Linked DNA regions of Cricetulus griseus. The protein of the gene in region 4 purifies or fractionates together with the protein of the main gene of each other region. This does not show direct contact. Links are inferred from orthologs where the notes say so. Each region holds a gene or a part of one and is shown on either strand. Other genes may lie near its edges.

What was found.
Region 1: the proteins of Rela (region 4) and Cul2 purify together in Homo sapiens (affinity purification with western blotting; 3 studies listed by BioGRID and IntAct, with this or other methods). This does not show direct contact. The link is inferred for Cricetulus griseus from reciprocal best matches to the Homo sapiens genes RELA and CUL2.
Region 2: the proteins of Rela (region 4) and Sp1 purify together in Homo sapiens (affinity purification with western blotting; 7 studies listed by BioGRID and IntAct, with this or other methods). This does not show direct contact. The link is inferred for Cricetulus griseus from reciprocal best matches to the Homo sapiens genes RELA and SP1.
Region 3: the proteins of Rela (region 4) and Kpna3 purify together in Homo sapiens (affinity purification with mass spectrometry; 4 studies listed by BioGRID and IntAct, with this or other methods). This does not show direct contact. The link is inferred for Cricetulus griseus from reciprocal best matches to the Homo sapiens genes RELA and KPNA3.
Region 5: the proteins of Rela (region 4) and nuclear fragile X mental retardation-interacting protein 2 purify together in Homo sapiens (affinity purification with mass spectrometry; 3 studies listed by BioGRID and IntAct, counting the BioPlex papers as one, with this or other methods). This does not show direct contact. The link is inferred for Cricetulus griseus from reciprocal best matches to the Homo sapiens genes RELA and NUFIP2.
Region 6: the proteins of Rela (region 4) and Hdac3 purify together in Homo sapiens (affinity purification with western blotting; 3 studies listed by BioGRID and IntAct, with this or other methods). This does not show direct contact. The link is inferred for Cricetulus griseus from reciprocal best matches to the Homo sapiens genes RELA and HDAC3.
Region 7: the proteins of Rela (region 4) and Rnf182 purify together in Homo sapiens (affinity purification with western blotting; 3 studies listed by BioGRID). This does not show direct contact. The link is inferred for Cricetulus griseus from reciprocal best matches to the Homo sapiens genes RELA and RNF182.

The regions. Positions count from the first base shown.
Region 1 is NC_048596.1:210,684,995-210,689,391, forward strand, and holds the start of Cul2 (cullin-2), read right to left. Parts: upstream 2,906-4,397; 5' UTR 2,750-2,905; intron 2,687-2,749; exon of another isoform or gene 2,523-2,686; intron 2,122-2,522; exon of another isoform or gene 1,967-2,121; intron 1-1,966.
Region 2 is NC_048595.1:398,798,544-398,802,203, reverse strand, and holds part of Sp1 (transcription factor Sp1), read right to left. Parts: intron 1,909-3,660; coding exon 1,740-1,908; intron 1-1,739. UniProt on the Homo sapiens protein: Transcription factor that can activate or repress transcription in response to physiological and pathological stimuli.
Region 3 is NW_023276807.1:216,452,663-216,456,859, reverse strand, and holds the start of Kpna3 (importin subunit alpha-4), read left to right. Parts: upstream 1-1,318; 5' UTR 1,319-1,366; coding exon 1,367-1,681; intron 1,682-4,197. UniProt on the Homo sapiens protein: Functions in nuclear protein import as an adapter protein for nuclear receptor KPNB1. Binds specifically and directly to substrates containing either a simple or bipartite NLS motif.
Region 4 is NC_048596.1:53,704,207-53,707,866, forward strand, and holds part of Rela (transcription factor p65), read right to left. Parts: intron 3,144-3,660; coding exon 3,039-3,143; intron 2,860-3,038; coding exon 2,647-2,859; intron 1-2,646. UniProt on the Homo sapiens protein: NF-kappa-B is a pleiotropic transcription factor present in almost all cell types and is the endpoint of a series of signal transduction events that are initiated by a vast array of stimuli related to many biological processes such as inflammation, immunity, differentiation, cell growth, tumorigenesis and apoptosis.
Region 5 is NC_048600.1:91,081,556-91,085,924, reverse strand, and holds the start of nuclear fragile X mental retardation-interacting protein 2, read right to left. Parts: upstream 2,827-4,369; 5' UTR 2,732-2,826; coding exon 2,425-2,731; intron 1-2,424. UniProt on the Homo sapiens protein: Binds RNA.
Region 6 is NC_048595.1:199,688,352-199,692,508, forward strand, and holds the start of Hdac3 (histone deacetylase 3), read left to right. Parts: upstream 1-1,300; 5' UTR 1,301-1,406; coding exon 1,407-1,461; intron 1,462-1,556; coding exon 1,557-1,639; intron 1,640-3,783; coding exon 3,784-3,926; intron 3,927-4,157. UniProt on the Homo sapiens protein: Histone deacetylase that catalyzes the deacetylation of lysine residues on the N-terminal part of the core histones (H2A, H2B, H3 and H4), and some other non-histone substrates.
Region 7 is NC_048596.1:263,371,463-263,375,550, reverse strand, and holds the start of Rnf182 (E3 ubiquitin-protein ligase RNF182), read right to left. Parts: upstream 2,890-4,088; 5' UTR 2,686-2,889; coding exon 1,942-2,685; 3' UTR 1-1,941. UniProt on the Homo sapiens protein: E3 ubiquitin-protein ligase that mediates the ubiquitination of ATP6V0C and targets it to degradation via the ubiquitin-proteasome pathway.

The DNA.
Region 1 (4,397 bases), about 160 Mb from region 4:
ATTTTATGCCCTACTGAACATTTCCAATTTTGAATCTAAGTATTATTCAATGGACCACCAGTTAAAGACTGATAAACTCTACCCATCTTTCCCCATGTTTCATGAAGGCAGAGATCTGTCTTATCTCTCATTATCCCAGTTGATGGGTCCATAAAACACTCCTCAAATCAATGAATGAACTGTATGACTGCTTAACTTTCTAACTAAATTTTACAATTGTCTAACTGACTCAACTCAAGACATCCAATACAAACCCATTTTATATAAACTCACGTTTCTCTCCCCATCCCTGTAGATGGTACCCCTCATCCAATAGAGCTCTAAAACCCAAGAGACACCTATCTCCAACTTCACTCTTTTCTTCTTTCTTTCTGTTTTTTTTTTTTTTTTTTTTTTTTTTTTGGTTTTACGAGACAGGGTTTCAGTTTAGCTTTGTTGCCTATCCTGGCACTAGCTCTGGAGACCAGGCTGGCCTCGAACTCACAGAGATCTGCCTGCCTCTACCTCGAGTGCTGGGATTAAAGGCGTGCACCATCAACGCCAACGGGCTCCAACTACACTCTTATCCAAACTATTACAGGTTCAACAAGTACCTTCAACATAGCTGGAAACCTTGTTACTTGTCTTTTAGTGGTCCAAGAATACAACTCTGACCCTGGGTGGGGGTGACTTTTGACATCTACTCTCCAACCTATAGAACATAAAACTCCCAAAACTTAAAATGTTTTAAAAACCAAACTCTAGCTCAACCTCTCTTACAGGGTCTACCTTCATTGAACTTCTAATTTCACTCCACCTTGGGGCTTTTCCATTTGCATTTCTTCAGAAAGTTTCTGTTTTATCAAATATGTCAAATGTCACCTCAGACAGGCCTTTCCTAACATACAATCTGAAACAACTTTTCCCAATTACTACAATTCCTTATTTTCCTTCGGAGCAATATCCTATTTGTTTATCTACTATGTCTCTCCATCTCAGGCAGAACTCTGAAGAAAGCAGAGTTCAGAGTCATATCCCTAATTCCTGAAAAGCAGCTTAGCAAAGGGACCAGCTCTTCCCACTGGAAAACTAACTTTAAAGGTTCATACACTTGGGGCTCAATTACTGAGGGTGAAAGTTGAAAAGACATGGGTACACAATCTTACACATTCACACCCTGGTAAAAGAAAGCAGGGTCTGGTGAGGTAGGATTTCCGGGAATGTGAGGTTAGCTGAGCTATACAGTGAGTTCCAGACCAGTCAGGGCTATACAACAAAACCCTCAAAAGACAATTGGGTGTGATAGCACATGTTTTTAATCCCAGCACTGCAGAGGCAGTAAGGTCACTCTGATCTACACAGTGAGTCCCATACAGCTGGGGCTACATTATAGAGAGACTCTGTCTCAAAAAAACAAAGCAATTAAGAAAACAAAAAACAACACCCCCCCCCAAATCACCAAAACAGTCCCACAACTCATAAATAACATGAGGGAAGGGAAAGTAATTAAAACAAAACTGTGCACTATTCTTAAAATTCATTTGTGACTCTTTGGGAAGGGACTTCCAAATACTGTATATAGGCATTAAGAGCCAAAGGTCAGCTAATCAAATCACTTTTATGTCGTGGAATGACACGTGATGAAAGAGAATAAAGTGATCTCTCATACTGTATTTGAATGTGGGTTTGAGATAAGTTCTGGGGCAAGTATCTTTTCTATTGAAATCAGTAAGGAAACACACACACACACACACACACACACACACACACACACACACACACACCAGGAATTTTTTCCAGAAGGCGGTGCTGGAGTTGAACCCAGGGCTTCTTGCATGCCAGACAAATGCTGAAGCATTGAGCTATATCTCCAACTTATCTTCAAATAGAAACTTAAGAGGGCACTACCATCCAGCCAGTAATAGTAACCAAGGAGGACATGGGGTAACTTATAATAACAATAGAAATTCAAAGATGTTCTACTTGCATGCACCGTAATGGTAGGGAAGGGTCTAGACTCTAGTACAAAAACAAGTGCTGGAGAGAGTCTGAGGCTCTTATTTCACCAGCCCATGAGTGTTGAGGCAGGAGGTGCAGCATGCACGTAGACTACTCCTCCCCAAAGCTATCAATCTTCACTATCTGCGGAAACAAAAGTGAAAATACTCGTGGCTAGGATCTATGAGATTGATGCCACCCCCTTCCACAGAGACTGTGGTCTCCGTGTGCTCACGTAAATAAGCGGGAGAGCACACTTTCACCTTCCCTCCTTAGGAGGAAAATGAGGCCGAGGGAGGGGCGGCCGGCAGCGGATCGGGGAGGCCCGGGATCCGATCCAAGGGTTGCCTGGCTTAAGGGTCAGCAGTCGAGGGACCGAGGTCACTCACAGGACACCATCTTGCCGGGCCTCCAGCTCTCAGCCCGCTCCCCTCCGCCAGGTCGCCCCTAACTCCGTTCCTCCGCCCCATCCCCGCCACCCATTCGCCGGGAAGGGAAGTTTCCCTGCGCCCACAGCCGGGCTCCCCAGCTCTCAGCGGGGTTACCTTCTGCGGAAGCAGGGCGAGGGCAGGGGCAGGGGCCCGGGGAGGGAGGCAACCCGCAGGCGTGAAGGACGAAGCCCCCGGCTCTGAGGGTGGGCGGCGGCGGCTGTCAGCTCGCGTTCCCCGGCTCACAGCGCTGCCATTACTGTGCGCCGAGGCCGCCTCCCCGGCCGGCCACCGCCACCGCCCCGGGGCCACGGGGGTGCCCGGAGCAAGGCGCCGCCACTCACCTGCTCCCGAGGGAGCCGTACAGACAAGGCCGCTGCCGCGGGACAGGACGGGGTCAGGGGAGTAGGACGGACAGGTGGCTGGATCGGGGAGCCAGTCGTCCTCCAGGGCTCCGGGCTTTGCCCGACACACGCCCTCCGCTCTGCTCTCCCAGCCTCTTGCACTCACACACCCGCAGGATGCAATGGTCCAGTCCAGGTTACGGCAAGCGCAGGGAGCCACGCTTCGAGAATCGCGAAGCCCTTGCAATCAATTGTCAAAGTAATTCATCGCCCTGCATACTTGTCAATGAGGCCATCGCAGTTCCCTGAGCTCAATGGGTGCAGTACCCACCAAATTTGGGGACTATTGATATCCAAATTACAACAGGGAGAGGGTTTCTCTTTGTTTTATTTGTATGTGGTTTTGTGGTTTTTGAGACTGGATCTAGCTAGGTGACTCTTGCAGGCCTGGCACTCCTTTTACAGCTTGAGCTGGCATTGAACTAGCAATCTTCCATCTCAACCTCGCCATTAAGCCACCACTCCTGCCTAGGGTTTCTCTATGTAACTTTGGAGCTTGTACTGGAACTCACTCTGTAAACCAAGCTGGACTCAAACTCAGAGATCCGCCAGCCTCTGCCTCTGGAGTGTTGGGATTAAAAGTGTATGCTACTACACCCAGCTCTAGCTGTTGTTTTTACCCTCGGACAAATTCAAAGACGTAAATATTTACTTTTCTCCTTTTTGTTGTTGTTGTTGTTGGAAACAGGGTTTCTCTGTATTGTTTTGGAGCCTGTCCTAGAACTTGCTCTGTAGAGAGCCGCCTGCCTCAGTCTTGCAAAGGATTAAAGGCGTGAGCCACCAACGCCTGGCTGAGCTAAATATAGCTAAACTTCTTTGAAATACAAGCTTTAGATACTACAAGAATCTAAATGATGCCGGGCGTTGGTGGTGCACGCCTTTAATCCCAGCACTCAGGAGGCAGGTGGAGGTAGAGGCAGGATCGAGAAACCCAGTCTCAAAAAAAAAAAAAAGAAAAAAAAAAAAAAAAGAAAAGAAAGAAAAGAAATACAAATTTGAATGAGGGATACTCACCTTTGTTATTTTTTTAAAGATTTATTTATTATGTATACAGTGTTCTGTTTGCATATATGCCTGCAGGTCAGAAGAAGGCACCAGATCTCATTACTGAAGGTTGTGAGTCACCTTGTAATTTCTGGGAATTGAACTCAGGACCTCCCAATTGCTAAGCTATCTCTCCAGCCCCTGTCTTTTGTTATTTAATTGCCTTTCCTATAGTGAAGAAGATACAGTGGCTAGGGATTTTACCTTTGAATAAACTTTTTCTTCCCAGCCTCTTCCAACTGTGCCAATTCTTTAAAGTTCATTTAAAATCTTATCCTCAACGCAGGTATGGTGATCTCACTTTGTAATCCCAGTATTTAGGAGGCTGAGACAGGAGGATAGGAAATCCAATCCGTGGTCACCCCCAGGCTATACCTAAAACCCCTTTCTCAAAATTAAATCTTATTTCCAGACACAATAAATTCTACCAATCTCTCTTCTCATAGCACTTGAATTTGTACTTACTTGTTTTTGTTTTTTGAGACAAGGTCTAACACAGCCCAGACTGGCCTCTCTCATCCAGAAATCCTTAGAATGCAATGTC
Region 2 (3,660 bases), on a different chromosome or scaffold from region 4:
ACCTCCCAAGTGCAAGGATGTTGTGTAGCAATATACTCTGGGGTTAAAACACACTATCTCCCATAAAACAGAGGATGAACAACTCAAAACAGTTTCAGGAAGCCCCTGAAACTGATCAGATTCACTAGGTCCCTTCCAAGAGTAAAAGATAAAGCCAGCCAGCCATGAGTTACTCTCAGACAAGCCAAGTTGCAAGGAGAAGACTCTCAAGAGCCCAGAGAGCTGCCTTGAAGGGGCTTAGACCAACTGATCTGGACAGAAGGGATACTGGCTGCCTGCATGCTCCAGTTCTTCAGCTTTTGTAAACTCATCTATGCTGGAGTAGGCTTTGGTGATTCAGACGTCTTTGAGTCACTTCTGCTCCTTTTCTTTTCTTTCTTTCTTTTTTTTGTGGGGGTGGGAGGTTTGAGACAGGGTTTCTCTGTACTGCTTTGGAGGCTGTCCTGGAACTAGCTCTTATAGACCAGGCTGGTCTTAAACTCACAGAGATCCACCTGCCTCTGCCTCCCGAGTACTAGGATTAAAGGTATGCACCACCAATGCTCAGCCTTCTACTCCTTTTCTGTAAGTAGCCCCTCACCCCATATTCCTTTAACTAATCCCAATAAAACTCACTGGTTCACCAAGTTGGGCTTTGATGCTACCATACTTTGGTCTGTCATGGGATCCTTTTTAGGTCCAAATGGCTAACTGTGATGCCCATTAGCACATCAAAGCACATGCTAGCCTCCAGGTTCTCTCAGCATAGCAAATACCTGTTACAGAGTCCATCCTGGCTCTTCTTACCCCACCACTACCCCTATACTTCTCCAGATCACTTTCCTCCCAAGCTTCTCGCTCCCATATAACCCTGTCATTTCCAATATGCACTCTCTTGCCTCTCACATTTTATCTTCCTTTCCCACTCTCTTCCCCGCTTCTCTCTCATGGCTGGGTCCAATCTATTGGCCATGTTTAGTCTACTACTTTCTCTCTCCGCTCTGGACTTTGACTGTACTCTCCTCATGTCTACAATAAAAACCTTCCCCTCAACCATACCTTGGAGAGGTCATGTCTGCACTTAATGCACCTGGTGTCAAAACCCTCACTTTATACACTCTCTATACAATACACTCTGGGGTTAAGTAGATACATGTATGTGTTGCATCTCCAGACAACATGCAATTACAGGCATGTGTGACCACACTGCTTTATTAAGTGCTGTGATTCAAACTCAGGACTCCATAAATGCTAGGTAAGCCCTTTACCAACTGAGCTACACACCCAGCCCTCCAATGTTTGTTTGTTTTTTTTGTTGGGGGGGTTGTTTTGGGTTTCTTCGTTCCTTTTTTTTTTGGTTGTGAGCCTACTCTTTAACGGCGGAGCTACTACCCGCCACACCCACCCACACCCACCCACACCCACAACCACACACACACACACCTGCTTTTTTTCTTAAAGACAGGGTTTGTCTGTGTAAAGCTCTGGCTGTCCCAGAACTCACTTTGTAGACCAGGCCTGCCTCTGCCTCCCAAGTGCTGCTAGAACTAAAAGCATGCGCCACCAGGCCCAGTTCCCTGTGTCTTGAATATATATATATGTATGTATGTATGTATGTATATATGTATATATGTATATATGTATATATTATAATATTATATATATATATATATGCCCTTTCCCTCTTATTTCTAAGTCCATTTTTAATTTATTTACATTCAAAAACAAAACAAACTCCATATTCAAGAGAATGAACTCACCTTCCTTCACTGTCTTTACAATAGGGGCATGTACATGCTTCCCGCCGAGTCCTCCTACCAGCTTGGGGTTGGGGATCAGGGCTGTTCTCTCCTTCTTCTCCACCTGCTGTCTCATCATGCATCCCATCACCACCAGATCCATGGAGGCCAAGTTGAGCTCCATGATCACCTGAAATAAAAAGAAAAGGAGAAAGGTGGCAGTGGACAGGATAGAACAGCTATAGAAACATCACTGATATTACATTCACAGTACCAACTTTTAATTACAGTTCTTTCTTCCATGAGTGGTGTGTGTAGTATGCTTGTCCAAGCCAGAGGTCATCATTTAGAAATCAGTTCTCTTCCACCACATGGGTTCTAATAATCAATCTCAGGCTATCAATCAGCCTTGATGCGAATGCCTTTATCTGCTGAGCCATCTCACTAGCCAATATGGCACCACTGCATCAAGATCTCTTTTTATAATCTGACATAAGGTCTTGCTTTGCCCAGGTTGTCCTTGAACTCCTAGGCTTCTGAATCAACCTCCCAAGTAAGTACCTGAGGGACTCCCAAGTGATTACAGGTTTAAGTTTACATAGTAGGTCCAGACTAACCTTGGCTAAAGAGTAAGACCCATGTCAAATAAAAAAGTCAACATGACATCAACATATTGGAATTTGTTCCCCATCCCTTTTAATAACAGTTTTAGAAAAGAACAGTTTAATCTTAAAATATGGTACTAGTTAAGCAATGAGATAAATTAAAGATTGGCCTTCCTGTGATGAAAATAACTAGGAAACCAGAGGCAGTTTAATGACAGTCTTGGGCAAACTGAGCTGTTACCTCTAGCATCCATTTCTGAAACAACTATAAATGTTATATCTTTTTATTTTCTTCAAAGTAAAGAAGTGTAGGTAAAGCCATGACCTAAAAGTTAAAACCTTGGGAATTACTAAAGCATGATGAAATTAAAATGTCAGTAACTGTAAAACAAATCACCATTCTAGGAACTGAGCCAAGGGCCTCCACATAGTAGGCAAGCATTCTACCAGTCTGAAGGCTAGTTTCCATATATTTCCAAAAATTCTACTTGGGATTCTGGTTTCTTATCTGTCATCTTGCTGTGATAAGTACCATGACAAAAAAAACAACTTGGGAAGCAAAGGATTTATTTCATTTTTTTGGGGGGGGGGTTTCTTTTATTCTTTTGTTTTTTTAAAGATTTTATTTATTATGTATACAACATTCTGCTTCCATGTGTATCTGCACACCAGAAGAGGACACCAGATCTCATAACCAATGGTTGAGAACTACCATGTGGTTGCTGGGAATTGAACTCAGGACCTCTGGAAGAGCAGTTGGCGCTCTCAACCTCTGAGCCATCTCTCCAGCCCTTTCTTTGAGATTTTCGAGACAAGGTTTCTCTATAGCTTTGTAGGGTGTCCTGGAACTGGGTTTATCTTATCTTACAACTCTTAGATCATACTCCATAATGAGGGAAATCAGGCCAGGAACTTGATACAAGAACCGAGAGACAGGATTGGCTTAATCTCCAAGGCTTGCTTATTCTGGTAGACTATCTAGGACCACCTATCCAGGAGAGACCCATCCCCCAGTGTGCTGGGTCCTCCTGTCAAGAAAATGGCCTACATACTTGTCTACAAGCAATCTGATGAGAGTATTTTTAATTCATTTATGTGTATGAGTGTACTGCATGTATTTGGGGTGCCAGAGAGATCAGAAGATAACATGGGCAACTTAATGAAAACCTCCTCTCCCTTCCTTTCCCCCCCAAAAATGTGAGGAGGGCTGAGAATATATGACAGAGCAAGCATAGATCTCTGAGAAAAACAAAGAAAAAAACACTGGGCATCATAGGGAGAAAAAAACCTAGGCATGGGAGCTGGAAAGATGTTGACTGCTCACAATTGCCTGTAAC
Region 3 (4,197 bases), on a different chromosome or scaffold from region 4:
TTCAAATGAGTCATTTGACCAGATTCAAAGGACACGCTGAGGGCTTGAAGTCTAGAGAAAAATGTAAATTAATTAAAAAAGAAAAAGAAAGAAAAGGGGGAGGGGAAGGGGTACAATTAAGATAGTTAAAAAAAATAAAATAGAGAAAAAAGAGTGCAACTTTTTGTTTTCCATGAGAAAGCACTACTGGCATCAGTAGACCGACCATACTTCAACAGGGCAAAGATGGTGTAAGACCTTTCATGGACTTGTAGTTACCAACTGACCACAACCAGTGACTCACAAAACAAATGCAGGTGACAGCTTGGCCACCAAAGGCCTTTCAGTTCCTAACTCAGACCTCAGGTTCTTCCAGATTTCTTTTGAAGATTGTCTTAACTGAATTCTTTATGGTATATTTCTACCAATCTGACCTGGCTCATTTTGATCATATGTAGTACAACTGCATACAAGCTTATATCTGCAGAAGATACAGAAACGCAATATTCTTATATATAAACCAAGTCCACCTGCCCGGGGGTGGGGTGGGTGGGTGGGGTGGGGTGGGGTGGGGTGGGGTGAATAAAAGCTGTTATTGTTCCAACCTCTCTCTGTTATTTCTTCTATGACTTTAAAGGGAGAAGGCAGGCTGGAGTCTGCAGCCCCAGGGCCTGATTACAGCCTGAAGGCTAGATTGTGTGTTAAGGTGGACTAGGAGCCATGGGGGCACAGGAAGGTAGAGCTGCCAAAGTGACGATTGCACAAGGATGCTTGGGAGAAATCAGGGCATGCTGGAACGCTATTATTTTCTTTTATCGATGAGAACTTAGTAGGTACTGTGCTGACCTGACAGATTCTTGAGACCAACAAAGTCTCTGCACTCATTGAGCTTAATAACGGTGCAGGGAGCAAGGTAGCATAAGCATAAACACACACATCACATTCACATGTATCTGTGGAGTGGAAACAAGCATGCTATTTATAACACCGAGGCAGAGCAAGAGAACAGAGTTTGAGGGTGGTTGCTATTTGAGGAGACCCCAAAGAAGCCAAAAGCGCAGAGCACGCGTGGCCGTTCTTTTTCTAATTTTCCAAGCTGTAGGGAGCAAGGTGCGCCCCCAGGAGCCCCGCCTCTCGCTCCCGATAGGCCGCAAGGTGCCATCTCCGGAGATGTCCTGCCCACCACCCCGCCCAGAGGCGGGGCTTCGAGCCCGCGCTCAGAAAGCGCCGCGCCGAAAGCGCGCGCCCAGCCCTCCCGGCATGCTTCTCGTCCTCTCATGGCGTGGCTCAGACCAGCGCCTGGCATGCTGGGAACTGTAGTTTCCGCCCGCCGCCCCGCGTCAGGGGTGGTGGTAAAAGCTGCTAGGTCGGGCTCCATTTCTAGCACATGACTAGCGGCGGTCGGGAGGCTCTACGGTGGGGTGAGGGCAGGGTCACCGCGACAGCCAGCAGGCCAGCGCCCCGGCCTCTCCCGGCGCGCGCCGCTCCTCAGCGCCGCCCCCGCGCCGCGGCCACCTCGCGCTCCGGGCGTCACGGAGCGCGCGCTCCTCCCCCTCCGTCCCCTCCCGCTCGACTCGCCGCCGCCCCGCCGCCGCCGCCGCAGGAGCAGCCGCCGCCGGAGCCGCGCGCAGCCATGGCCGAGAACCCCGGCTTGGAGAACCACCGCATCAAGAGCTTCAAGAACAAGGGCCGCGATGTGGAGGCGAGTGTGCTCCGAGTCTGGCCGGGCCGGGCGGCCGGGAGAGGAGGGGAGGGGAGGGGCGGGGGCCCGTGGCCGCTGGCTCTCGCCGGCTGGCGGTCAGTCCGGAGTTGGCCGCCGCCTCGGGGGGCGCCGCGGCCCGGGCTGCAGCCGCCTCCTGAGCGGCCAACGCGGGCACCGGGGACCGCTGGGCGCTCGGCGCCGCCGCGCGGGCGCGGCCTGCTGTCGGAGGGGAAGGGATGTGGAGCCGAGGCGGGGTCCGCGGGCCGCGCGGGAGGACGGACCGGGATGCTGCCGCCCCGCGTGCCGACCGCACCGCTGGGGCCCGGCCGGCGCTCGCGTCCTCAGCCGGTGCAGCCTCCCGCGCTGCTGCACATGGAGCCTCAGTCCCCGCGCCTACCTTGTGCGAGCCGGGCCCAGGCGGGCGGTGGCAGCCCTTAGAGGGGGGTGGGGACCAGCCGGGTAACTGACTTGTTTGAGGGTGGTGGATGGGGGAGGGTAGGATGCGCCAAGACCATTTTCTTATATTCCAGTGCTGTCCTTTGGACCAGTCTTCCCGAGCTGTTGCAGCTCATAACCCCTGTGACTGCTGGCATTTGGAGCGAGCTAAAGGTGGACAATAGTTTACCATCCATTGTGTTGAAGCTTTGGGAAGGAGATTATGCAGACCTCTGATCTTGGGTTTTTTCTTTCTTTCTTTCTTTTTTTAAAAAAAGCTCATCTTGGAGTGGGAGCGTGAATAGTAGGAAAACAATTTCTTTGACCTGTTTTGCCGAAATAAATTGCATACATAGATTCCTACGTCCTTGTGTATACCACATGCCACCAGGCTGGTAGATTTTCCAAGTGGTTGCAAAACTGTAAACATTCATTGTGGTCACTCAGTTCGCTGCTACTCAGCATGTTGCCATTGTCTCATTAAGGTGACATTAGCAGCTACTATTTGCAAACTCTGCTTATTGAGGTAGCGCTAGAGGTCTCTCTGCTCCTACTAAAACCAATGAAGTGTAATAGCACAAACTTCACTGGAACTCGACCTCTGAATTTGAGGGGGGAAGGAGTTTTAAGCCTATACCCTCTTTTCTATTCTAATAGTAGGTGATGGTTTGTATAGTCCTGTAATTTTTGGTAAGAGGCTAGTAAATACAGAGTTTGGTTTAGTAGAGAAGCAGGTGAAGCTGGGACATTTCTCAGAGCTACAAAATTAGGTATGAATTGGGAAAAACCTGGGGGAATATCTGTGGAATTCCCATTTGAGTGAGACTACAGGTCCTTTATCTCTATCCTGATCACATCTAAGTTTCCTTTTGGAGAAGTACTTCCAAACAAAAGTGAAAGCTAACAACTGGAACAGCCATCAGTCTCTATTTTTTAATAAGACTTGGTTTTTATCTTTTCTTCACCAGTAGTTTTTCTGTGTGTGTGTGTGTGTGTGAGTGTTACACCAGTAGTCTCTGTTGCTTTTTGTTGTTGTTGTTGTTGTTTGTTTCCTTTTTGAGACAGGACCTCATTGCAGAGCAGTCTGGTCAAACACACAAAATAATTCTCCTGCCTCAGTCTCCCAAGTGCTGGGATTACAGGCATGGGCTACCACACCCAGTTCCACAAGTAATTTTTCTTGAGGCTATCTTTTATTACTGTAAGCAAAACTGCATAGTTTGTGTGGATGTATTGCTCCTATTGCTTGTACATTCTTTACTTTTCTGGATGTTGGTGTAAGTTTTAGTCACAATTCACTTCTAGTATGGTGTCCTATTTGTTTAATGATACCTAATAAGGACTTTTTCATGGAATAGATCCACAGCAGGTACTTGCATGAAAAGAACAGTATAGTTGCCAAGCCATTGATTTTGTTCACAACATTACATTTTAAGGACATGTTAGGATAACTAAGACATGAAACAACAGGCATTCAGATGGTAGTTCTTTGTGTCAGACACTATGTTGTACCAAAAGTTTGCTACCTCATTTAATCCTTACTAGTTAGGTGTGACATTGTCTTTACTTTATCAGGGAAAAAAGTACTTTGACACAGAATGTCAGCATCCATGTAATGTGCTGGTCATGTCTGAGCATTCATTTTCTAAATGACTATTAGGTGCCTATAATGCTCAGCCTTCTTCATACAAAAGGACCTAAGATTCAGTTTGGCTTGAGCTTATAGTCAGTGTGTGAGAAAAACCTACACTGGATCAGGAGTGTTGACTTCCAAACAGCAGTGAGATCTGTTGATTCCTAATAGATGAATGGGGATGAACTGATCCTGAAGAGTCAGAGAAGTCTGGGCGCACATTCAGTAATTCCAGCACTTGGAACTGGGAGGCAGAGTGTTAGGAGGTCAAGGTCATCTTGGGCTACATGATACCCTACCTAAAAAATAAGTGAATGAAGGGTTGTAGTTGGGGAAGGGTAAGGGCCGGAGAAGGTGGGAGGCATTTGGAATTTTATTAAGTATTAATTGAAAAGTCCCAGTTTATGCAGTCAGCTGGTAAACAAGGAAAATAAGAAGGCAACCTTAC
Region 4 (3,660 bases):
GGTGCTGAAAATTAAACTTGGGTCCACTGGAAAAGCAGTACTCTTAACCACTGAACCATCTCTCCAGCTCCTGTCTCATTTGTTTTGTTATGTATAGCACTAATCCTTGAGCAAAATGAAGCTGGGTTATAGGATTAGTGACTGTGGTGACCTGGCATGTCTCAGCCTTAAGCCATGAGGTTCGGCCTGAGTGGGGATGTGTGGACCTGGAAACTCCTAGCAACCCAGCCTCGATAAAGACCAAACACAGGCATCTTGTCATCTTTAGAGAGCTCTCAGTTCCATGTTGTAAAACTGGAGTCTCTTCTCTATTTACCATCTTTTTGGCTGTTTCTTAACCATGCTTCCATGGCCACGAGGAGACCACTGCTGTCCTTCTGTTCTCCTCTCTGGTCGGATGGCTCCTGTCTGTCCTCACTTGTACCTTACACCTAGCACCTAGGCCCAGATGCAGGCCTATTCAGATGCTTAGGCCCATAGAGATGCAAACTAGGAGGCATTCTATACTAAGGCTATTGTAAACAATAGCAGACCTGCTAGCATTAGCAATACAATAGTGGGCCGGAGCTTTCCGTGAAACCAGAGGCTGGACCTCAAAACATTCTATAATGGAACTATTTTGGTCCCCCAAAAGTGATAAGAGACACAAGGTGGCACAAAGTCCACAAAGCTAAGTGACCTTGGTTTAGGTGTGCCACTGCCTCTACTGCTAGTGAATTCTGTTAAATCATTCCCCTAAAAAGGTGATGATACGCCAGGCATTGGTGGCACAGGCCTTTAATCCCAGCACTCAGGAGGCAGAGGCAGGCGGATCTCTGTGAGGCCAGCCTGGTCTTCAGAGCAGAAACACTGTCTCAAAAAACCAAAAAAAAAAAAAAAAAAAAAAACAAAAACAAAAACAAAAAAGGCGATGAGAGGTTAAAAGGACCACTCATAGGAAGGGTAGATACAGTAGACAGAGCTGAATAAGTTGGATGTCAGAGTTAGGGAAGAAATAGATTATGACTATAATTATATGTTGCTTGACAATGGGGGCACAGCCTGGCAGTGGTGGTGGTGGCGGTGGCGCACGCCTCTAATCCCAGCACTCAGGAGGCAGAGGCAGGTGGATCTCTGAGTTCGAGACCAGCCTAGTCTACAAGTGCTAGTTCCAGGACAGCCTCCAAAGCCACAGAGAAACCCTGTCTCAAACACCCCCCTCAAAAAAAAAAAACAATGGGGACACATCTTAAGACATGTTGCTAGGCAAATTTGTCATTGGATGAATATCCATTTTATTATTACCTCTGTGTGTGTGTCTGTGTGTGTGTGTTCATGTAGGTGTATGAATGTGCATGCATGTGTGTACAGATGTGTGTATGAGTATGTCAAAGCCAAGGCTCAATGCCTGCTTATATGTGTGAGCACCTTGTACATGCCCAGTGCCTGCAGAGTTCAGAATAGTGTCAGATCCCGTGGAACTAGACAGGGTGCTGGGAATGAAGCCTGGGTTCTCTGGAAGAACAGCAAGTGCTCTTAACCACTGAGCCATCTTTCCAGCCCCATCCACCTTAATTATTTGAGATACGATCTCACTATATAGCCCTGGCTGGTCTGGAACTTGTAAGGTAGACCAGGCTGGCCTTGAACTCACAGAGATCTGCCTGTCTTTGCCTCCCAAGTGCTGGGATTAAAGGTGTGCACTGCCATGTCCAGCCCACTTCATTTTTTGAGACAGTACCTCTCACTGAATCTGGAGCAAGGCTGGCTGGCCAAATAGCTCTAGAGGTCCGTCTATTTCCACACCATCTGCACGCTAGCTACACACGTTTGCTGGAGTACCCAGCTTATTATATGAGCATCTTTTTCATCTTTTTTGTTTGGTTTGTTTTGTTTTTCAAGACAGTGTTTCTCTGTGTAGCTTTGGAGCCTATCCTGGCACTCACTTTGTAGACCAGGCTGGCCTAGAACTCACAGAGATCCATCTGCTAGCCTCTGCCTCCCAGGTGCTGGTTTTACCTTTTTTTTTATTTTTCTTGAAATTTAAAGATTTATTTTATGAATATGAGTGCTATATCTGCACATAGGACCTATGCCAGAAGAGGGCACCAGATCCAACTATAGATGATTGTGAGCAACCATGTGTGTGGGTGCTGGGAATTGAACTCAGGACCTCTGGAAGAGCAAAGAGTGCCCTTAACCTCTGAGACACCTCTCCAGCCCTGGTTTTCTTTCTCTCTCTCTCTCTCTCTCTCTCTCTCTCTCTCTCTCTCTCTCTCTTTGTTTATATGAGCATCTCAAAGATTACTTACACAAACTAAGACACCTATGTCATTAGACAGTGTAGTTCCTCACCCCCCTCCCCCAGGTCAGAGTTTCTCTGTGTAGCCTTGGCTATTCTGGAGCTAGCTCTATAGACCAGGCTGGGCTCGAACTCATAGATTCATTTCCCTCTGCCTTCTGAGAGCTGGGATTAAGGGTGAGCCACCACTGCCCAGCTAGATAGCGCAGTGTTATATGACCACCATGGCATATGTGGTCTTTGACAGAAATACTATGTGCAATGAACTACAGTATGTATAAATCCTATGTGCTTGTCCCAGACATCCTGGTCTTTTTCCCAGCTGGGGTACAGAAGCCTTGGTACTGCTCTCCCTAGCATCACACCTGTGTCTGGCAGGTACTGGAACTCCATGGGCTCACTGAGCTCCCGATCAGAAGGCCGCCGAAGCTGCATGGAGACACGCACAGGAGCCTGCAGGCTGGGGTCAGCGTATGGAGGAGTCCGGAACACAATAGCCACTTGCCGGTGCACATCAGCTTGAGAAAAGGAGCCTCGTGCTTCCCAGCCTGGTCCAGTGAAATACACCTCGATGTCTTCTGCAGGAGACAGAGTAGTAAGGGTTAGTATCTGAATTCCAATGGACCTTGGTCCCCAACTCCTGATGCTTTTCCCCTGAGACGTCACCCTGTTTCTCCTGAAGCCACTGAGGTCCCTGGCACTCATCACCCTCTCAGCCTCACCCCGCCCCTCGTGGCACACATAGCCCAGTGTGTACCTTTCTGCACTTTGTCACACAGCAAGAAGATCTCATCCCCACCAAGGCAGCTCCCGGAGTTCCGGTTTACTCGGCAGATCTTGAGCTCAGCAGTGTTGGGTGCACCTGAGGATGTGACATGGATGGAAACCCTGAGCCACCACAGGTCTCCAGGGCACCCGACAGGAGATGTAACAGCGATGCCTGGCAAGTCCCATGTCAAGGTCTTCCTTCCACAGCTTGCTGACAACACTTCTGCAGACTAATCCCATCTGCTCTTCACCTCAACCAATTCAAAAACACCTCCTGCTGTGTGTGTGGAGCATGGCTCTAGAAAAGGCAGCAGAGCAACAAAGAGCCCAACGTATTCCTGTCCTCACAGACCTTACAGCCCAAAGGAAACAATCTGACACCTTGTCTCCCTCTGCCTGATCAAACACATTTTCAGCTTTTGGTTCATCTCTACCCTTGGCAATGAGTCTTTCCCTCCTCACTCCCAGTTAATCCTGGTTTCCGGTCCTTGGGGCTCCAAAGGCCTTTTATTTTCAATTGCCCTGCTGCTTACTAATCCATCAGTGTCAGCCCAGGTCATCTGAGAGCTTCCTGTGAGCTGCTACTGTGGAATTATCACTGCCTAGCATTA
Region 5 (4,369 bases), on a different chromosome or scaffold from region 4:
TCGGTATGCAAAAAGCATGAAAGGCATTTTTAAAAGCTTAAACATTTAAGAAAAATGTCAAGACTGTAGTTATTCCTGAAAAATTAAAAATCTGTAGCATTTATTTAGGGCTGCCATGCAAACTCAACTTCAAATGGACTCAGTCAAAACTTGAGTCCTGACAAATCTAGCTTTGGATTTGCCACTGCAACCCACTCAACACATTTTGTCTTCTCTTGTGCCCTCTTCTGGATTCAAAAAACTAGTTTCTCAAAGATTTGGGAGTAATGGGTCATAAAAAGCCATTGAAGCAACAGTACTGTGTGACCAAAACATACATGAAAGACAGATCACCCCCAAACCCTCAACAGTTTCCCTCCTTATTCTTCATCCCAACTTAAGACATATTTTGAGGGGTGTCACTTCCAACGGTTCAGGGTCTGCATCACTGTAAATGATGAGTCCTGTGGGGAATACATAAACCTCATAAAACAAATTTAAAATCTAAAAAGTACCATTATTTGACAACCTTAATACTTCCCCACTTTCTGAAAACCAAAATGCAGTGTTACATAATTCCTAAGTTTTCTAGGCTGCTCTAGATCCTTACAATTAAGCACTTAACTTCTACTGCACCTTACAAAAAAAATCTGATATCCGGCATCTGTCTTCAAAGTTACATTGTCTACAGTAAGTTTTTCACCAGTGACTGCTTGAATGCTTAAATGACATGCTGAGTTTAACATTTTTTCTTCCAAGTATTCCCTTCACTACTCTTCAGTTTATAAACTTTTAATCTGCGAATATATAAATTTTGACATTTATTTCTTAAGTATTTCCTCAAGACTTTTACGTTTAACATGTTAAATAAAATTCAGTTTGGGTAACGACATCGGTTTTAAAATGCAGCAAATGTCTTTCACTTTAATATCACCATAAAGTATTGTCCAAGGTAAGATGGTATTGACCCAACCTCACGGACAAGCCATTTCCAGATAATAGGGGACCCAAACTGTCTCTGTTGTCCATCCAAATCAAGTATTTGACTAATCCCTGCAGCCACTACCCATGCCCAGAAGTTTAGGTGCTGTGTGGAAATCAGATGGAACAAGGTTTAAGAGGTTGTTTTCCCTTCTTTTGGTAGGAAAGGCGCTGCTAGAAAGAAAAAAGGCCTAAGTGAAAGCCGCTGAGGCGGAGTCGTGAGCGAACCTGGCAGGAGATGAGATTCCTGTGGCAGAGAAACTCGTGACCCGGGAGCTTGGTTCCCGCTGGGTACCCCACCCGGCCTCAGGCACCGCCTCTACCGAAAATGAGTCCCCCACCTCGCCCCTCCAAGGCCAGCGGAACGCCGTGGCCGCCGCCCGGGCCTCCTTCCCCCTCAAGCTCCTCTTCTAGGCCGGCTCCCCGCCCGGCCGGGCCGCCCGCGCCTCCCGCCGCACCCGGGAGCGGGAAACGCGGCCGTCGGCGCGCGGGTCCACGGTGCAGGCCGCTCCCCTCGTGGCCGCTTCCCTCCCCCACCCAACCGCCACCAAACCGAGGCGGGGGAGGGGCGGCGGGCGCCGGCCGCCCGCAGTGCGGGGGACCCGGCGATGGCCGCCGAGGGTCCCGGGCCTTCGGTCCCAGAGTGCAGTGTGGCCTTGGGCACCCTTCCCCCCTCCGCTCCTCAGCCGGCCCGAGTCGGTGACAGGAATCGGCTTCCAACATGGCGGACAGGAAGCGGCCCCGCGAGGAGGAGAGAACATTCCAGCCTCGCCGGCTCTGAGAGCGGGCCAGGGGCGCCGGCCTCCGGAGAAGCCTCGAGGAGAGACAGCAGGGTCCGGCGCCCGGAAGGGGCGTTTAGGGGTGAAATGACTCGAGGGGAGAAGGGGTCCCAGCCGCCCCCCCCAGACAGCAAACCCCAGGGCCACAGGTGGGCTTGGGTGGCGGGTGAGGGAGGACGCTTCCTCAACTCAGCCCTCAGCCCGGCTCCTCGCTGCCTGCAAGAGGGTCTCGCGACACCACCCGAGCCGGGATTCACTAGGCCCGCCGGAATTACATACACCTCGAGGGAATTTTTTTTTTTTTTTTTGCGGGCGGCCGAGTTTGATCCCTTCTTAGGGCCCCCCACATTCCGGCAACTCCGGGGCCGTAGAAGAGGAGGGGGGAAAAAAAATAAGGTTGTGGACTTCCAAAGCCGACCGTAGAGAGAGGTCTGCCTCCAGCCGGGGCGGGGGCCGGGGAAGGTCACGCTGGCCTGCTTGGGCCTCTCCCATGCTGAAGGGAAGGAGAGGGCGCTGCAATCCCCACCTCGCGGCCCGCGCCCGGGAAGAATGAAAGGGGGCATCCCAGGCCCCGCGGGACGCACACCCCGGCCGGGTCCGCGCTTTTCACATCTAGCCCCACCCCCATCCCCTCGTCGGCCCCCCAGCCCCAGCCCCCCTTCCCCCACCGCCCTCCCTCCCAGACCTGTTTTCTTCTTCGGCGTTTCCTGGTGCTGCTGAAGGGTGTGTTTCTGCTCATGTTTCAGCGGCTTGGGCTGGGCCTTGGGGCTGCCCTCGGCTCCATGCTGCAGGTACTGGTGAGGCTGCTGGTGATGGTGGTGGTGGTGGTGGTTGTGGCTGTGGTTGTAGAAATAATAATGGTGATGGTGATGCGACGACTGCTGCTGCTGCTGCTGCTGCTGTTGCTGCTGCTGCTGCTGCTGGGGGTGATGGTGCGGATGGTGGTGGCTGTGATGGTGCTGAGGCTGTGGCTGGCCGGGCTTCTCCTCCATTGAAAGCGGCTGGGACTCCCTGGCTGAGGCTGCAGGCTGCTGCACCGTCAGGATCTGAGACTGCTTCTCAGCGCTCGCTCAGTATATCTGAGCGCGTCTCGCCAGCGCACTGGTTAAGCGAGCGGATCTGGAAGATTGGCAGCAGCCCTCCAGCAATCAGGAGCCACGCTGCGCGTCAAGCCCCGCCCCTAGCCCAAATCCTCTTCCCTTCCCCTTCGCCGCCGCCGCCTGGCCAACGCCACTTACCCTATGCAACCTCACAGGGCCGGGCCTTCAACGTCAGCATTATGGCTCTCTCTTCTATCGCTTTCTCTCCTTCACCACGCAGTTAGCGAACAGCACTTTCTACACTCCTCACAGGCAAGCAAGCTGATTTCGAGTGTAGCAGATTCCACGGACGATTACTGGCGCTAGGAGCCATCTGTTGGTTTTGCACCTCCTAGAATCTGTTGGGGTGTGTGTGTGTGTGTGTGGTTTTGGATTCTTTTTTTTTAAATCCTTTTCCGGGTAACCAGAGCAGAGGGGGAAGCTCAATTTCCTTAACCCTTAGGCCACGAAAGGGGCAATACAAAAGAGGAAATAAATTCAATTTTAAGAATACAAAACCTTCACAACTCGATAGATCGTTTTTGTATTCTGGATTCATTTTGCTTTGTATTCATATGCTAATCTCTTCCTTTCCACGGAGGGATTATAGGGTTCCACAATGGGGTATCTGTGTAATTTTCTAAAAGGGCACAAAGGGCTTAAATCATTGTTTCTTTGTAGTTGAAGGCAAGAAAGAGGGATGGATGAAAAATATATACTGAAGGGTTTTTTTGTTTTGTATTGTTTTAATTAAACACTACAGGTAAGGTCAACTATGAAACCAAAATAGGTTTTAGATTAAGAATTTTAAGAGTGAAGGAAGGGAGAAAGTACACCTTTAAAAGTTCTTACGATTTTAATTTTTACATCTTTTTGTTTTGCATTTACAGAAAACATTGCAATTTAAAGATGTATTTGCATTCTATGCAGTTAATTCAACTCATAGTAGGAAGAGGGTTGTGATGACAGACACAGAATATCCTCAAAATATATTTTTGTGGGTCTTGGCAGGAGGGGTTGTTTGCTTGTTTTGGATTGGTTTGTTTTTGAAACAGTCTGTGTAACCCAGATTGACTTGGAACTCCAACTAAGAGATCCCCCTGCCTCTGCCTTCTGAGTGTTGGGATTAAAGTCCTACACCACCACACCAAGCCAATATGCTATTTCTTAAAACTACATTACAAGTACACTTGCTCAAATGAGATATATATTTCTCTATGTAGTATAAAGGAAATTTTAAATGTGCAATTTATCATCCTAACATGTTTTTTTGTTTTTGTTTTGTTTTGTTTTATTTTGAGACAGGGTCTTACTATGTATCCCTGACTGGCCTGGTATTATTCACTATGTAACCCAGGCTGGCTTCTACCTTACAAATACCTTCATTTCAGGCATGTACCATCATACCCAGCTCCTACTTAACCATTTTTAGTACATAGTTCAGGAGTATTAGGACATTCCCATTGTTGTGTAACCAAAAACAAGTGCATTTCTAGAACCTATTCATCTTGTAAAACTGAAACTCCATACCTATTAAATGATAAATCTCTT
Region 6 (4,157 bases), on a different chromosome or scaffold from region 4:
GAAGGTATCTTAGGATCCGCAATAAGAGGTCCGCCCCACCCCCGACCGAACCTAGGAGCTGTCCAGACTGAGGGTGCTGGTCGGCCAAGACCGCCACAGGCTGGAGGCCAGATGGCATCTACGAAAGCCCTCTGCCACGACCCAGCCCCACTTTTCTGACATCCAGACCGCTATTTTTTACAGCTCATCCCGCGCCCCCGTCCCTTCCAAGGACACTGCAGCACAAGGTGGGACGAAATTCTCAAACAGCGAGCTCAGAAAACACGCTGGAGTCAGTGTTGATACCTCCTCTACACCGGCCTGAGTCAGGCCTCGTACAGCCCCCTCCCCTCCTTGCATTCCTGGGTCCCCTCTTTTTCGTTCCTCCCACCCTGGCCACCTGGCCCACCCGGTACCGGTGGTTTGGTTCTGTCTCCCGCTCCGGTTCTGGCTCGGGTCCCGGTTCCAGGGGCGTCCTCGTCCGGCTCAGGGCCCCCGACGCCCTCCCGGAGCTCATCCCTTGCTTCCTCCCCCTCCCCCCTATGCCGCCTCACCGGCTCCGGGCTGGTGGCTGCGGATACCGGTGCCGCGGCAGACGGGGGGAGGGAAGGATGGCGGAAGATGTGGACCGGTTGGTTGGGAGCCGCGGCAGGCTCCGGACCACTCCTGCCCGGGAAATGGAGGAGATGGGGGAGCGCCTCTGAAACTGTCTTGGGTTCCCAAATGCCTATCGTGTCACGGGCCCGGGACCAAGGGGCGGAGCACAGGTGTGCGGGGCGGAGAGCGTGAGCCTTACGCGTGTGTGAACGCAAGTGAGATGTGCGCGTGACTGCGCCGCCCCCTCCCCCAGGAGGAATGTGCGGCGTGAGTCTGGGTCCTCGTGGGTGGTCGGGAGGTCAGGCGGGGCTCTGGCCACTGGTCTAGCCCTCATGTCTGGCACAGGTCCTGCCCTCACATTCCCCGGATGAGTGGAAAGCCAGCAATCTTCCTAGCGCCTGGGAAAATCTGGCTTTCTACACCTGAGAGAGGCAGGATGCCCAGACCTTCCGAGGTTCCTAGAGAGGGAACGCTGCCCCAAGACCCGTTTGGGGCTAGTGGGTGGACAGAATGACTCGGTTTCCCGAGGATATGACCCTCGTCCAGAAAGAAACGGCCCTTGTGTCCTATGAATAACGCCGCGGGTCCCGCCCAAGCACGGAGTCTCAAGCCTCAGAATCCGGACCGGGACAGCAAGGGAAGGGGCGGAGCTCCCACAAGGGGCGGGACTCCCACTAGGGGCGTGGTCTGGATGTGATCTTGGGAGGCGGGGCCGAGGGCTCTTTTCCGCAGCGGTAGGCTGCGTGCTTGCGCAGCACGCACGGCGGGGGTGGGGCTGGCGGCCGGCGGCGGTCGGGCGGCTGAGGCTCGGGGCCTGGTCCCCCAACATCATGGCCAAGACCGTGGCGTATTTCTACGACCCCGATGTGGGCAACTTCCACTACGGTAGGGCACAGAGTTGTGCGGGAGGAGAGGTTTCCCGGGAAGGGCTGCAACTCTAGGGGTGGGAACTGACCAACTCTTTCCTTCCCTATCCCCAGGAGCTGGGCACCCGATGAAGCCCCATCGCCTGGCGTTGACTCATAGCCTAGTCTTGCATTATGGTCTCTATAAGAAGATGATCGTGAGTCCTGACACTTCTGTGGGGGTTTGGGCCTGGGAGCAAGCTGCGGCCTTAGGCTAGGTGGGCTGGATATACCAGGTGCAACCTGCCGCTAGAGGGGGAGCAGGATAGAAGGCACCGTGAACGTTTCCTATATGCATGGCGGTGGTGGTGGTGGTACTGAGTCGGGGGTGTCCCCTTTCGTAATGGGACATACATTTTTGACCTTAGATGGGACTTCCTTTTAACTTGAGGGGAGACCAGCCTCTGGCCTAGGGTTAGGGCGACAGGCTCATCCCTTCACTTCATTTATTTAAGTGTTAGTGAATAGAATCCAGGGTTTCACACGTTAAGTGAGTACTTTGCCACTGAACTACACCTCTAGCCCCTCTTCTTTGTAGAGGGGATAGTGGTTCAGGACCAAGGATGAGGGTCTATTTTCTAATGACATTTCACCCATAATTCCTTCGCCTTCTCCTCCTCCATTTACCTGAAAGGAGCTAGGACAACTCTGCACTCCTTTGTGGTGTGTATGTGTAGAGAATATGGGAATTTACTTTTTTTGTCGTTGTTATTGTTGTTTTGAGACAGGGTTTCTCTGTAGCCCTGGCTTTCCTGGAACTCACTCTATATAGACCAGGCTGGTCTCTGAACTCAGATCGCCTGCCTCTGCCTCCCCAGTGCTGGGATTAAAGGTGTACACCACCACTGCCTGGCAGGAATTTACTTTTTAATATAGAATGTATCTATATGGTTCTGCTCAACTCTCCCATCTCTCATGTAGCAAGCCTGGCCCTTGTGTACCATGAAGGTATTCAACATGTCATTGGTGTGTTTAGGCGCAGGCAGTGGTTTGGGTGTACAGTAGACTGAGGTGGTATTAGTGCAAGTCTGAATCCCCTAAAATTGTCTGTGTCCATTTATCCGTTTTCTAGGAGAGGAAAAAAAGTGTTTCTTGCCCAATTTTCAAATCATTGTTTGAACTTCCACCTCTACCCCCACCGAGGATAATAAATCTTTGGTTTAGGACTTTGGATTTCAGTTAGATTGTCATATATCTCATGGATTTGATCCCATGGTGAAAAACCCAGAGAAGAGACCAGAACCTGAGTTTAAGAGAGGAGATAAGTATAGAGGGAACCAGGACTGAGGAAGCTAGGAACAGGCATGTGGGCCAGGAGAAGTGGGCTGGGAAGATAGAGACTGGGCTGAAGAGAGGAATTAGACGAAATGATCCTCAGGGGTCTTGATAAAAGTAGCTTGCCTGGCTAATAGCATCTCTTCTTCACTAAGGGATGGGGGTAGGGAGATTGTTATATATGTTTTGGACAGTCTCCATGGCTGGGTTCAGTGTAAGTGGTCTCAGCCTGGGGCTGGCATAGTAATGCCTGGGTTTATTGTTAGGTTTTGCATTCAAACTGGGCCTCCCGGCCCCCGACCCCTTCCTGGAATTCTGGAACCAGTAACAAGACCATGTGTCAAATGAACAGTGAAAGGGACTTTTATTCTTGGTCAAGAATATAAATGAGAGATAAACTTTACAACTCTTAGGAATCAAGAGGTTACAGGTATGGGGGTTAGAGTGATGATTCAGTGGGTCAAGGTACCTGGCTCCAAGCCTGGTGACCTCAGTCTGAACTCTGAAACCCACATGGTGAAAGGAGAGAATTGACATCTAAGTTATCCCTGGCTTCACTGTGGCATGCATACCTACCTACCCCCCTCCCCTGCCGCACCCCAGTGAAATAATGTAAATCAATTTTAATTAAAAAAGAATTTGTATAGAGTGAAAAAGGAGGTAAGAGAAATAGACTGATAAAGAAAAGGATTTTTTTTTTTCCCTGAGACTGGGCAGAAAATTTCTGGGAATTCAGGCACTCTTCTCTCTCTTTTTGCTTTCCAGTTGTTACCATGGCAGTTGTTCCCTGTCATGGAATTGGGAGTATCATTCAGTGTTTTGGTGGGATTATAATTAAGTGAGGTCTTGTCTAGTTGGTCACTCTGGTAGCCTTCTTGGGCTGATCCTGTTTGGCTGGCCTCCCTGAGAGGAATTTCTGCCTTATAGGCATCCTGCCTTCAAGGGTAAGATCAGGGTAGTGTAGAAATTCAGCTAGCATCTAGGCAGTGCTCAAGGTAACAACTTCACTTTTGTCTCCATTCTCCAGGTCTTCAAGCCTTACCAGGCCTCCCAGCATGACATGTGCCGCTTCCATTCTGAGGACTACATCGACTTCCTGCAGAGAGTCAGCCCCACCAATATGCAGGGTTTCACCAAGAGCCTTAATGCCTTCAACGTGGGTGATGACTGGTGAGGGAAGCACCTCGAGGCCAGGCTCTTCAATGAGGCCTTGTGGCAGCAGTAGAAGGAGCCTACTAGTCAATAAATTATCATTCACTCATTTGATTGTTCAGTAAATATGCACGCCTTTGAGCCAGCACTCAGGAGGCAGCAGCAGGCAGATCTCTGAGTTTGAGGCCAGCCTGATCTACAGAGTGAGTTCCAGGACAGTCAGGGCTACACAGAGAAACTCTATCTTGG
Region 7 (4,088 bases), about 210 Mb from region 4:
TCACACAAAGCAGCAAAACACAGCGTTGGTCCAGAGCCTTCTGCAAATCTCTTCCTGCGGTAACTCACCAACTCACTCAACGCTACAATTCACACAAAATGAGCATCTTTTAAAAAAGAAACCTTATAAATATATAAATCCAAACCACAAAACCTCTTAAATATTGTATTTACTCAAAGTACAAATGGAATTCTGGAAACCGCATCCACAATACTACCTAAAACTAGGGTTTCTGGAATCATAACTGCATTTAGCTCTAAGTTGGGGGTTAAATTTCATTGGACCACATCCCACATATACTTTCTCAGTATATGTACCTTGGGCATACATGTTCTCAAAGTCAGTAGTTACACAACTAAAATAAAACTCCTATTCTAGGTAAGCATCCATGTTTTCCTTAATATGGAGTTTGGAACTGGTCCCCTGTAACTATTTCACACTACAAATGTTTCACCACAAACAAGTTAACGGAGTCTTGGTAAAGCCCTTCACTAAGCATTACGGGTATTTTATTGTTAAGTATCAGCAATGAGTTTCAGACTAAGAAGCTTTCTTCCCTCTTTTTGCCTAGTTTCTGTGAACATTCTATTCCCCATCTAAAACTTGCTAGACAACTTACTCCCACAAATATATACATTCAATGCCCCCCACCCCATTTCATGAAGCAGGGTGCATACTCAGGCCATGTAGCTTACTTATGCTTTTACAGAAAATACACTGAAGGACTTGAATCTATCCCCAAACTGACTGAACAGCCGCAAGTGAGCCATACCTGGCCACCTCCACTTCACTCCCTTGACTTGTCTCTCCAAGCAGGGCATCAACTCGGCATGGCTTCACCCTTTCTTTTGCCTGGACTTCCATAGGACATAAACCCAAGCCACTGCAGTCTGGTACCATTCAACAGAACGTGGGTTCTCAGTGCCTAGGACTAGAGCAACTGGCGACCTGTTGCTGGGTTTTCACCATCACAGGTTCCCCCAGAGTGTTGCAGGAGTCAGCCAAATCAGACCTAAGCAAATTTCTAAAACAAGGGGAAGAAAATGAAACCTTCATAAACTGATAGCAACTAATTTAAATGGAACTTTGTTCAGGATAAGGCATGGGCTGATTGAAGAATGTGGTTAGAAATCAAACAAACCTAAAATGCTATAAGGAATTACTCCAGTGAATATTTCCACATGCCAAAACTGCTCAGATCTTCTCTGGGAAGCCTGGGAGAAAAACCGCACATGAAGGAAAAGGCCTGTGGTAAGGATAAATGGCCATGCCCTGGCGTGAGGTCTACTTCCTTGCAAACTTCTCAAAGTCGTCCCTCTTCTCTAGCAACATGCCCAAACAGGAAATTCTGCAGGAACCACCCAAGGGGATGATATTGCAGGACTCTGGGTCAGGGAGCACCGCACAGAAGAGAAATGGATCTGAGGGCAGGTAGCAGACCTCAGAGAAGCATTGCCTTAAGAGAGAAAGCACCTGAAGATGATTAGGGGCTCCAGTGCTAAGAAAATTGGGTGCATACCTATGTGTTTTGGAGCAACCTGCCTGTGACATCCACCTATTATCATGAAATACCCCTAACTTGAAGGAGGACTCCATTTATCCCTACCTCTTCACAAATACCCTGCCACGGTATAACACACCTTGCCTGTGCCCACACCTTTGCTCATGGACATCTCACAATTGTCAGAGCTCCCTAAAAGCTATGCACACAGCCTTGCTTTCTTGGTTAACCCCTATGTAGAAATGAACTTTTTAGAAAATGTTCAGAATCCAAGAAAACCCATCAAGCCAACATCTGGACAGAAAATGGACCACAGACATATGGCCAAGGGCTTTGTTGAGGCTGTAGACACTAATCATAGAGAATACAAAAGAAAGCAAATTGTACGTACATCATTTGAATGTAGCCGTAAGTGCCAAATTTCCTATTTTGCATATTGGTTAAGAAGGAAGTGCCATACAGTCCAGAAATTCATGACAAACACATTGGCAAAAACCATACACCATAAGGATGACAAGGCTAGAGGGAACGAGGCTAACAAAGACTACCCCAAGGGTGACTTTCTTAGACACCAGTAAATAGATCCCTAAGGGCAAGGAGCTGAAGTATAGCAAGCCTAGAAGCCACACTAACACCCGGATGGACGTCTGAAAGAGTAGGGAGGTGCAGTTCCACACCGTCCAGTTGTGGGACACTGTGGTGACAGAGTCGAAACTTGCCGGCCTGTAAAATTCTACCACAGGTGTAGAGGTGAGAGATGGGGAACTCTCCCTCTGCACCTCCATGATGGTGATAACCAAGCAGTTGGAGGATGTGTGGGAAGGACTGACCAGGGAAGCCAGCCGCTTCGGGGTGAGCAGCAGCTCCGTGGGATTCTCAGGCAGGCATTTCTTCCCTTTGCTTCCACAAGTCAAGTTTACAAGGATGTTATTGTCATCAGGCAGGCTGCTAACTTCATCATCCGGCAGGCACGTCTCAAACCTACAGAAAGGACAGACGATGACACCCTGGGGAGAGTCCCCAAAGTCTATGATCTTATAGAGGCATTTGGCACAAACTCTGTGACAACACTCCAGAACCTTGGGCTTCCTCTGTTTCAGGTTGTACCGATTGTAACAGATCTTGCACTCTAGCTCATCTGAGACCTGAGTCTCCACAGGCTCTTCTGGTGGCTGGCTGGCCATCTTAAATTACGGATGCAATCTTTCGTAGATGTGCCTGACTGAGGAGTGACTAGGATTAAGGAATTCCTCAGAACATCGCATCATCCAAGTCAGGCAAGGGGGTTGAAAAGACGGGAAAAGTGGAGAGAGAACCCAGAAGTCTTTGGAACATTTTCAGCTCCTGCGTGGTACTCTGTGTCTCTGGTGCATATTTTAAAAGGCCACCTGCAGGATCTGCAAAGAAAAAAACAGAAATTGTAATAGAGCAAACAGTTCACCGAAAAGGTGTTCTGAGAACTGCTTCGTGGCATTCTCTGAGCTCTAAGGACCAGGAAGCAATAGACCTAGCAGATTAAATCCCGTCCAATTTCACCTTTCCAGCCCTGCGACAGAAAGGTGTCATGTCCATGCTTCAGTCCACAAACACCCTAAGAAGGAATTAAGTCCCGAATGTGTGTGAAGTACACTGACATTCACCTCAGGGCCACATGCTCTACAACGGTGTCTACCCTAGCTAGGACAGATTATCTCTCTGAAATAAGCACCAAATTTTGGCCTCTTTGAAAAGTGGGGCTTATTCACAGTAGAAAACAGCCAAGTACCTTCCACAGTGCTCACAAACACGCCTAAGAATCTTCTTGCTGTTGCTAACTTGTTTTGTTTGCTTGCTTGCTTGCTTGTTTGCTTGCTTGCTTGCTTGAGACAGTCTCACTATATAGCCTAGGCTGGCCCCAAAACTTTCCACATAGCCCAAGCTGACATTGAACTCAGTAACCACATGACTCAGGCTCACAAATCTTGGGATTGGGGGCCATGCCCCATCATGCCCAGCTTCCCAAGCACAGAGTCTTAAGGCGAAGTATTAAGGACAGGTTTTCAGGAAGTGTTTTCCTAGAGATAAGAGCGTCTGTAAATGAAACAGATGGTTTTTTACTTCTTTATCTATTTTGCAAATGCCCTTAGTGTTTGACTATTTGATTAAATTTTTGTTTCAATGCCAATCTTGTGCATCCACATCTACACAAAGTGAAATAAAACATAAAACCTCTGACATAAGCCCGATAAACACATCCAATGCCTAAGAAAGTGAAGCAAACACAGGAAACACAAACAATTACACACACACACCATGAACATAGGAAAAGTCATTCCTGGGTAACTATCAGGAAATACTCATGTTGCCATCCCACCTACTGTGTGCCATGTAAATTCTATCTGTAATAGGCAGAAGGCACAGTGCATCCTGCAGGCCTGATACTAGCAACAGTGACATCACTGGCACTAGCTTTGGACAAAGGGCAGAGGTTTATTCGTATGCACAATGAGTCGTCTATATTGAGCAGCAGTGAAGACGAGCAGCAGTGTGGGAAATCTCCAGACCATCCCATTAGCTTTAATTTGTGTGATATTTGGGGTGGTAGATC